2 linked regions of the Caenorhabditis elegans genome follow. The protein of the gene in region 2 purifies or fractionates together with the protein of the main gene of each other region. This does not show direct contact. Each region holds a gene or a part of one and is shown on either strand. Other genes may lie near its edges.

Region 1 (4,731 bases), on a different chromosome or scaffold from region 2:
CCAAAGTCTGCGCTCAGTAAGGTTCCAGGAATGCTGCATCAGTGATCAAGAAGAAGATACTCGAAAATATAATGATTCCAAAAAATAAATAAATTATTTATATATTTCTAATTTTGCATTGAAGTTTAGGCTTGGGCTAAGACATAGGTTAGGGTCAGGCTTGAGCTAAGGCTTAGGCTTAGGCTTAGGTTCAGGCTCAAACTCAAGCTTGAGCTTATTCTCGAGCATTTGAAACATTGTTCGTGTCGAAACCAGGTTCCGTGTTGCTTCTGAAACTTTGATGTTCAAAAAATTCTGAAAAATATAAAAGTTGCAAAAATATTACATTCAATTTGTAAAAAAATTAATTTCTGAAATTTCAAAAAAAAAAGAACTGAAAGTTTATGTTTCTGGAAATTTCAAAATTTTTAATCCAAAATTTTTAGAATTTCAGAACTATTTCTTGAATGTTGTTTTTTTCGGAATTTTCAAATTTCTAGAAAATTTAAATACTTCTGAAACTGTAGTTTTTTGAATTTTCAGAATATAATGAATATCAGAGGTTTTGAATTGTTAGTTGTTTTTAGATACTGAAATAATTTTTGGCGATTTTCGGCTTTCAGAATTTTCAGAATATTTTGATTATTTGAGGTTCTGAATTGTTGGTTTTTTGAAAGATTTTTCCATGAAACTTTTTTGCGATTTTCTGCAAAAATTCCCACGAAAAATCTCAAAACTGGAAGGTATAAATGCGGTGACAAATATTAAAAAAAAACAATTCTCTGATTCCGTACAATTTTGCAAAAATTTCCAGCAAAGCGACAGGTATCTTCTGATCTCATTCACTTCAAGTTAACGTCTATATTCTTTTCAACTCAGCGGGCTCAAGTCCTCTTGTGTCTTTTATAATTACATGTAGCATTAGGTTTCCACAACGACCACGTCTCCGTGCTCTTTTTGAAACACCCATAATTTACATTCCATCAGACAGCTCGATTCTGATTGAAGTTTTCACTTTTTTCGAAATTTATGTATTGCTCCCCCCGGGTTACAAGCATATGTATAGTCGATTTTGAAACGATTTTGTTTCACTGAAAGTTTAAAAAAATGTTTTTTGAAACCTAGAAAAATGTGTTTTTTATTATATTTTCCCCAGAGTTGCATTTCTTTCTAGCAAATTAGAATGCCCAGAGTAGTTCAAAAAAATGTTTTGCCCCTTGTCTTTGTGATATCTTTTTCCGTACCTTCCTCCAAACTTCTCACCACAACCATTATATGGGCGGAGCCTAATAAACCCCTCCTGTTTCACAATTCAAATTTCCAGGTACATCATGTCATCAAAAGAGCTCTATAGACTCAAAACTTTCGACGATCACTATTTCGAAATGTCCACCGAATCAATCGGAGATCCTCTCCCAGATGGCAAGCCAAGTCCAACAGGGAAAAGCTTCCAACTATGTGATACCAGTTCCGAACGTCAAAGGAATTACCATGAAGATGGTTGTCACCTGGTGCATCCGTCATCGAGTCGAAGTTCCGAGCACTTCTACGTGGGAAGTTGACTATGTTAAATCATTGGATCGAGAGGAACTGAAAGATGCGATATGGGCCGCCAAGTATCTTCGAATGCCAATTCTTATTAATATTACTAGTTCTGAACTGTTTTTGCGAGCCGAAAATACACCGGTAGAGAGGTTAGATGAAGTGTATCCGATGCCGCACTGTGTAGGCAGAGCTCCGGAGAGAAGCACCAAAATCACCATTCACAAATTCAAATAAACTTGGATACAATTATTTTTGTTTTCTTTTAGTACTCAGTTCATAAATATATTAAAGTGGGATCCATCTTCGTTTTTTAGTGATTTTACAAAAGTTTTATAGTAGAAAAAAACAGAAAATAAACTGTTGCGTTCAATGCTGAAACATTTTTCAATGTTTGAAATGATAATTTTATTCGAGATTTCCAATGAATAAATAACTTTTCATAGAAGGTAGTTTTGGGAAAAAAAATTGGAAATTTTCGCGTCCAGAAAGTATGGAGTCCTATCAATGACTGAAAATATAAAATACTCTATAAGAATAAGAAATTGATATGTTAATAATCAGAAAAATACAATAATTAAAAAAATTCATAGAATCAAGTGAATTATTAACCAAAACTTTAATTCTATGCCATTTCAATTGCTGTTCATCGCGTGTATCGAATTCATTGACTTGCTTTGAACCAACAAATCAATCAATGCCCTCAACATTTTTCTCAATATTATTAAACATGTTGGCTTCAGAAAAAAGTGCTCTTTCATCTCCCTCCGCCTACTCATCTCTCCATCTCTGCCCCTCAAATCTCTCAGCTTCCGTCACCTGTTACTGACGGAATTGATCAGTGAGAAGCTCTTCGAGCGTTTTCATTACATATGTTCAGCCATCTTATTAGTTCTAAAAGGTTAGTTTCAGAATGGTTTTGGCTCCGTTTTTCGAGAAAGCTCCATCGCTTATCATTGCTCCAGACGGATCAGTTCTGTTCGAATGCATCTGTAATGCGAATCCACAACCAACAGTTAAATGGTAAAAGATTTTGGTTTATGAACCCCTAACCTTAACTACTGTAGGTTTTTGAAAGACAAAGAGCTGACTGGTGATCGTTACGTGTCAAAGATCAAGAAGATGGTTGGCAAGTTCACAGTTACACTGCATATCAAGGTAAGTAAGATTTTTGTAATACTGATAAACTGATCGGGATTCTAGATTAAGAAGAGAATAAGAAGAAAGGAACGGATAGAACACTTGATCTGGTTTTTAGAGGGAAACTTAAATTGTAAGAACATGGTGTAATATTGACCTTCGAAACACTTGCCTCGAGATTTTGTTTCACATTTATTTTAAAGTAAAAAACTTCAGAAACAATTTATTGACCTAGAAAATGTCGGCCATTCTTTTAAAAACCGTTCCTGGAAAGTTTGGGATGGTCTCCGGCAGGAACAAAAATTGAAAATAGGCTATACAATTTCGGAAAGTTTTTTTTTTCATTTATCGGAATCGAACATATATTTAAGGGCTGTGCGGTATTTTTTCGGCAAACCCACAATAATGTTTATTTCAAAATGATAATCCAACTTTTTTCATGCAAAATTAACATAGAAACGTAGAGAAAGGTTTGTTCTATCTGGAAAAAATACAAATTTTTTTGAAAAGTTTGAAAAAAAAGTTCAAATAGTGTCTGAAAGTTGTCGTTTGTCTAAACACTTTTAACGGCACTTTTTTGGCAAACGTCAACTTTCATGCACTATTTTTGATTTTTTAAAATTTTCCAACAAAAATAAATATGCACCATAACTGGCTAGATTCACCGTCGATGCACCATATCAAGTTAGATGCACCGTAACTGGTCAAATGTACCATAACTAGTTAAATGCACCATAACTGGTTAGATTCACCGTAACTGGTCAAATGTACCATAACTTGTCAGATGCACCATAACTGGGTAGATTCACCATCGATCATCAGCATAATTCACATACAATTTTTTTGAAATTCAGCTCAAAAATGAAGCTTGATGATGAAAATTAGGCAATGGGAATATTCATACTTTTTGAAAATAAAATTACTTTATATTAAAAATTTCAAAAAGTTGCTAAAAAATTGCCTCAATGCCGTAACACCCATCGGCATACTCACTTGGCACATTTTAAATCAAATGCCAATTTTGATCACTTTTTCATAATCTTCACTAAAATAACGCTATCTTCTAAAAGTACAAATACTTCTCTATATTTTCATATGAATTTCCAGAAATGAGCATTCTAGATAAGTTAATAACAAAGAAAATGTTTCCAGAACCCTACCCAAGAGGACCAAGGAGTTTACAAAGTGACTGCTACAAACACCCATGGCTCACACTCCGTTGAGCAGCAGTACATCTACAAATGCACTGGAAAAGAGGTTTTCAAGACTCTTGACTAAATTCTGCTAGATTTCTTTAATATTTCTTCCAATAAACTTTTCCGTCGCTATACTGTATCTTAATATCACTCGTAGAAGAAACAACGTGGTTATCATGTGATAAGAAGGTCAGAAATAGAGAGAAAAGATGTCAAAAATACTAGGAATTTTGAGTGTAGAGTTCAGAAAAACAGATTGAACAAAAAACGAAGTATACCCGATCAGGGAGATCGGTTTTTGGAAGGAAATAAAAATGATCACATGTGCAGAATAGTAAAAATGTTGATTGAGAAAATTTTGTTGGCGACATGTTGGAGTCAGATCTGTTCGAGAGTTCAAGTTGATAAGAATTCTAGTTTAAAAGTTTAGACTTTTGGTTTGGACATCTGAACTACAGGCTGATAGTTTAAACTGTAGGTACAGAATAGTATGAAAACCGTACGAGCAAACTTTGATGTCAATTTCCTTTGGTAAACATTCAGAATCAAAGATGGGAATGTTTGAAGACTTTTATGAAGTGTGCCAAATATAAAAGTACAATTTTTCAAAAAAAAAAAAAATTGAAAATTTTAATTTTGCGGCAAAAAGTGGCGCTAATTTTGTCGCCTAAAGTCTGAACAATGGCCAACTTTTCTATTAATTCATTGCATATTATTATTTGAAAGTTTTGAACTTGCGGCATTGCTACAAATTTCATATTAAGCTCAATTCTATGTAGTTGAAAATTTGACAATTTGCCAAAACTTTGTCATTAGGGGGAAAATGTAGAAAACTACTTTTCTGGTGTCAAAATGACCGAATATCATAAAAAAC
Region 2 (5,458 bases):
AACAGTCGAAAAACTAAAACCAAAGACCGATAAATGTTCTCGTCGTTGTGAAACAGAGGGGGAGTTGAAGAGGGACTAGAGGGAGAAAAGGGAATACACTCCTCGTTGCGCACACTGCCTCCTCGGTGAAAACATACACACATGGACCGGTGTGCCGGGAGAAGGGAGTGCGATAGAGCGTAATTGCAACTGTGCATATGTCGATTTGCAAGAGAGATGAGTCAATCCGAAGCATGACTTTTATTGCTTAAATAAGGTGAAAATTAGATATAATTTGTTAAAATTATCTCTTTGAACTTATTTCGATCAGCGTTTTCCTGAACATATATAAATGAAGCTTACTGCTTTAAAAAAACATTAAAATTGAACAAAAATCTATTAACGTTCATGGTGTGGACCATAAAAGTTATAAACAAAAGGTTCGTAACTGAGGAAATGATTCTAATCTTCTGACAACTCAATTTTAAAAAGAAAATCATTGAACCTTTTGAAAATTAACTAGAACTAGAACTAGAATCAAAAAAAACCATGCGATAATATTTGCATTTAATGAAAATGTTTAATGCCAAGTAAGCAGAGCTTATACATTTAGCTGGAAAAAACAACAATTTATATCTATATACGTAGATATATACCAATATGGTAATAAAAAGTTTTGTGGTACAACTATCACACAAGTACCGAGTTATCAGATACGTAGATGCTTAATGAAAAAATACAACTAACGGAAAAATGTTTCTGAACTGTTAAGCATCGTGTTTATTTGCATTAAGCTCAATACATACTACAGTAATACATTTTGTTTTGAAAATCACCAATATTTAGGAAAATAGGATTTCATAAGCTCAATTTAGTATTAAAAAAAACTTACTTTTTCATTTCATAAACTTTCCGTTATCCTTTAAGATTTGATTTTTTGTTTTAATTTCAGAAAACAGTAATCCATAACGTCTCATCATGAAAAATATTGATTACTTTAATCTTTTAAAGTAAAATCCGCAAATTTTTGGTTCATCGGAAATTTTTTATTGTTCACATTTTTTTAAATTCAAAATGTTTTGTGAAAATATAGTCGTTCGACATTAAAACTTTTTCTGAAATTCCAGACAAATAAGTAAATTACACATCTGTATATATTCGTCATTTTATCTACTTAAATGATCGTTCAAGATGTACATAAAGCCGACAAGATTTTCTCAGAAAAAAACCATTAAAAAGTTTAAAAGAAGAAAATGACTCATTCCACACAAACATTCGCCTTTGAATTGATCCACTTTCCATGTTTGCATAAAATTGAAAAAAAAATGTAAACGAGAAATGGCGGGTGGGTGGTCTGCCGTAGAAAGTCAGCAATCGCAAAAAAGGAAGAAAAAAAATCGATGGATGGTAAAATTAGATAAGACGATTTGAGGGATGGATGGTGAAAAACGAGACATGGAAAGGTTGGAAGACCAAAACTGGCCACGTGGTAGATATTGGGTTCGTGATTTGTTGAATACATGAAAAAAAACGAGTACGCTTTGTCGATATAAAAAGATTTTCGAAACATATAAATTGATTCGTAGCAAAAAATATACACAAAAAGGCACTAACACTTACAAGTTCTGGTGGGGATTGAAAATAAAAACAAAAAGAAACGGTAGATGAAAAACAAAAACACTAGATATCTACTAGAGAAGAATGAGAATTTATTTTAAAAAAATTATAGGACGCAGTAGTAGATTATGACATTTTAGATACGGAACTTGTCAATGACGGCATCAGCAAAATCGACAGTGGTGGCGTATCTGAAATTGGGATTTATTTATTGGTTTCTTCAAATTGCTGGCAGTAAAAATGGGCGAAAGTTTTTAAAAATAATACATTTAGAATAAACTTTATACTTATCAAATATGTACTTTTGTCAACTGTCGATTATCATACTTGAAAACAAATTAAAACAAATTTTGAAACAAATTTGAAACAATTTACAAATATTAGTATTGCCACCGGGGCTGTGTTGCCTGTTGCCGAAAAATTGCCGAAATTTCGGCAACCGATAGTTGCGGGTTGCCAAAAATTGTAGCATTCGGCAACTTTGGCAATTGCCGGTTGCCGCACATCCCTGCTTCCCACAAAACTCACCCTCCCAAATCACGGGTGCGAACTTTTCCCTCCTTAACAACATCAGCGACGGCTTGACGAAGTGAATTTCCCCAAGCATCAAGATGCAAGTGATTGAGCATGTTGGCAGCGCAGAGAATCATGGCAGTTGGGTTGGCGATAGAGCGTCCCATGGCCTCTTGGAAAGAGTGACGACTTCCTGGCTCGAAGATGACAAAGTCACGTCCCACAGATTGTCCTGGCACGACTCCGGCTCCTCCGACCAGTCTGGAATTATAAATTATGAATTTTTTATTTTGAAAATTTGAGATTGTTATTATAATTCTATGACTGATTCATAAGGTTTTGTTTTATTTTTTACTGACCCAGCAGCCAAGTTATCAATGATGTTTCCGTAGAGATTTGGCATGACCATCACGTCGAATTGCTCGGGCTTGGACACCAACTGCATGCAAGTGTTGTCAATAATCATGCTCTCAAACTGGATCTTCGGGTACTGCTTGGCAACTCCTTCACAGGTTCTCAAGAACAAACCGTCTCCGAGCTTCATAATGTTGGCCTTGTGCACGGCGGTGACCTGAAACAAAATCCGAGGTTCTTTCTAATTGCTTTGGTTGCTACAGGGCTTTCTGGTAAACTGAAATTAAGAAACTAAGAGTGAAACTCTGCTTTTCCAATTTTTCAGAAATCATTTTGAAAATATTGTACCTTCTTTCTTCCAGTCTTGGTAGCGTAGTCAAAGGCAAACTTGGCAATGCGCTCGGCTTTGGTTCTGGTAGAAATCTTGAGACATTCAATGACTCCTGGAACGAGCTCGTGCTCCAAGCTGGAGTACTCTCCCTCGGTTTGCTCTCTCACAATCACAAAGTCCAGCTGCTTGCCGTGTCTTGTCTTGATTCCATCAAGGGTCTGAAACAGAACGGTTTTAAGCGAAGTGAGAATATTTAATCTGAAAACATGCTGAAAGTCGGGCTATTTCTTGTACCATAAGTTCCAGAAGCACAACGCACATTTGCTTTTCGTTTATGTTTCTTTTATAGCAATGTATTATTTTAATCCTCACCTTAATGTGAACAACATTGGCGAACAAGTCAAGCGAGCGTCTGAGCCTCATGTTCAGACCCTGAAGTTCTCCTTCCGTGTGCAAAACGGCCGACTCCTCGATGGCGCCTTTGAGAGCAACGTTGTTGTTGCGTCCGATGGACTCAACAGCATTCTCGATGGAAGAGGAGCGGGTGTAGTGGACTTCGGAGAGGAAGATTTCTGAAAATCAAAACTTATATTTTCAAAAAAATTGTCAAATGTATTCAATTTCTCCACGAAACCTACCCTCGAACTCGATTGGAATTCCAGTTTGCTTGACAATATCCTGGACTGTGTAGATCAACTCTGGTCCGACTCCATCTCCCGGGATGATTGTCACTTTCAGTTTTTGGTTGAGCTCGGTTGGTGGACGTGGAGCAGTAATGGAATACTGACGGCTGGAGGCTGCATTCACCGCTCCGAGGGTTTGCGGAGCCACACGGCTCAACGAGGAAACCGTACGAGAGAGCATGCTGAAAACATTGGAGTTTGATTGAAATTATGGTTTCAAAAAAGTGGAAAAAGGAGAAAAATCATTTTACACTACTTGGAGATTTTCAATATTTGACTCAAACAAGTAATTTCCAAAGAGTTGCATTCTAGTTTTCTTTTACAATCAAAGATCTAAATCGATAAAAGCCTTGCTGTGCCATGCCATCAGAGAGCGAGAGTGCAGCGAGGGGGAAAAAGGACAGTTGTTACTTTTGGGTGGATAATACCTATTTAGTTTCCAAGAATTATTCGAGCGAAAAATTTTTAAAAAACTGCAGTTAAACTTCAACCATTAAGTAAAATTACTTGACTACTGCGCGTAAACCTTTGTTTTGTGAGCGGAAATTTCAAAAAAACACAGTGTAAAAGGTAGCAGCTTTCTGGTGAATTATAGTGCTAGAAAATCGAATGGCCAGCTGTGAAATTTTATTTCTATGAATGAAAAAAAAACACAGTTTCCAAAAACAACTTCTCAACAGCTGTGAAAACTGCATAAAACTCTTTTTTCATTACATATTTTACAAAATCCACAAAAACGAAGTGAAAATCTAGAACGCTCAAGTTGATGAATGAGAATAAATAAACAAATGAGGCTCACCTGATGTGCGCCAAGAACAACGGGCGAGGTGCACGAAGAGCGTGTCAGCAGCGATCTGGCGTGTTTATCGATTTTGCCTTGCCGGCGGCCATCGCCAGTGGCAGTTGTTTCGGTGGTCTTGGGAGAAAAAAAAGAAAGAGGGGCCTGTCAGGTTTTGTGTTGTTTGGGTGGATTTTTGTGGATTTCAAAATTGTTTCTCAATATTTAACATTTTTTGGAGTATGAAGAATGACAGAATAATTGTTATTTGTAATTTTTGTAAAATTTTAGCTGGCAAAAAGTTTTAAAAAACTCACAAAACATTTTCGAGACAACTTGGAAGTTCTTTCCAATTTTCATAAAGCAATTTGTGTCGTCATGTTTTCGCCTATTGTAATTGCCAACAATACGATTAAATTACTATGAATTTGTGTATATTATACATAGTACGCCAGATAACCATTTTATTAAGATTCCTTGTTTTAAGTATATTAAGGAATCATAATTCTTAATTAACAATGACGTTGATGTATTTATGAGCCAGTTGCTCATATACTCTCTGAACTGAACTAGACTAGATTTTTTGGAGATTTAATGGTAGTGTACATTCCATTTAGTGTTTGGTGTTTCACACCTTCATCAACTTTTTGTGCATCTAGAGTCAATGAACACTGGCATGATATCATATTGTTTTTGTTATAAAAAAAGCATACACAAAATATGATATTGTTTTTTAAGTTACTTTTTTAAAAGTTTTTGATCATTTTGGTATCATGAGATAAAATAGTTATTTAAAACTGAAACTTTTCTTCAATTCAAATTCAATTCCCATCCTCTGTTTTCTGATAAAGTCGCCTCTTTGATTGATGAAGAAAACTTTCCTCTTGCCGTATAAGGAAAAAACAAGGAAAGGTTTTTAACGATTCTGCAAGTTGCTGGCTCATTTTCAGTTTATTTTCTCGCTTTGTTTTTAGCTGATGGTAACAAATATTAAAAGATGTATATAAAGATTGAATAGCGTTGAAAAATCACTTATATTGGCTTACGCTAGAACGACCAAATATCATTAGAATTTTACAATTTTCTGCTTTTTTAAATTTTCAAACATTTCAAACAGTTCAAAGTTTCATCACCGTATTACCCTCGTGCATGATGATTTCTTGAAATATATCTCTTTGCACATGTTTCACGTAATATCTTTTA

Evidence for each region. Proteins that work in one complex are often made in the same cells at the same time.
Region 1: the proteins of idhb-1 (region 2) and oig-2 fractionate together in Caenorhabditis elegans (co-fractionation; one large-scale study listed by BioGRID). This does not show direct contact.

The regions. Positions count from the first base shown.
Region 1 is NC_003280.10:13,005,867-13,010,597, reverse strand, and holds oig-2 (Ig-like domain-containing protein), read left to right. Parts: upstream 1-2,433; 5' UTR 2,434-2,434; coding exon 2,435-2,544; intron 2,545-2,588; coding exon 2,589-2,679; intron 2,680-3,813; coding exon 3,814-3,939; 3' UTR 3,940-3,985; downstream 3,986-4,731. Other genes in the region: F18A11.5 (BTB domain-containing protein), read left to right, coding at 1-45.
Region 2 is NC_003284.9:14,169,731-14,175,188, forward strand, and holds idhb-1 (putative isocitrate dehydrogenase [NAD] subunit beta, mitochondrial), read right to left. Parts: upstream 3,660-5,458; 5' UTR 3,659-3,659; coding exon 3,433-3,658; intron 3,367-3,432; coding exon 3,167-3,366; intron 3,013-3,166; coding exon 2,812-3,012; intron 2,681-2,811; coding exon 2,469-2,680; intron 2,371-2,468; coding exon 2,125-2,370; intron 1,788-2,124; coding exon 1,733-1,787; 3' UTR 1,134-1,732; downstream 1-1,133.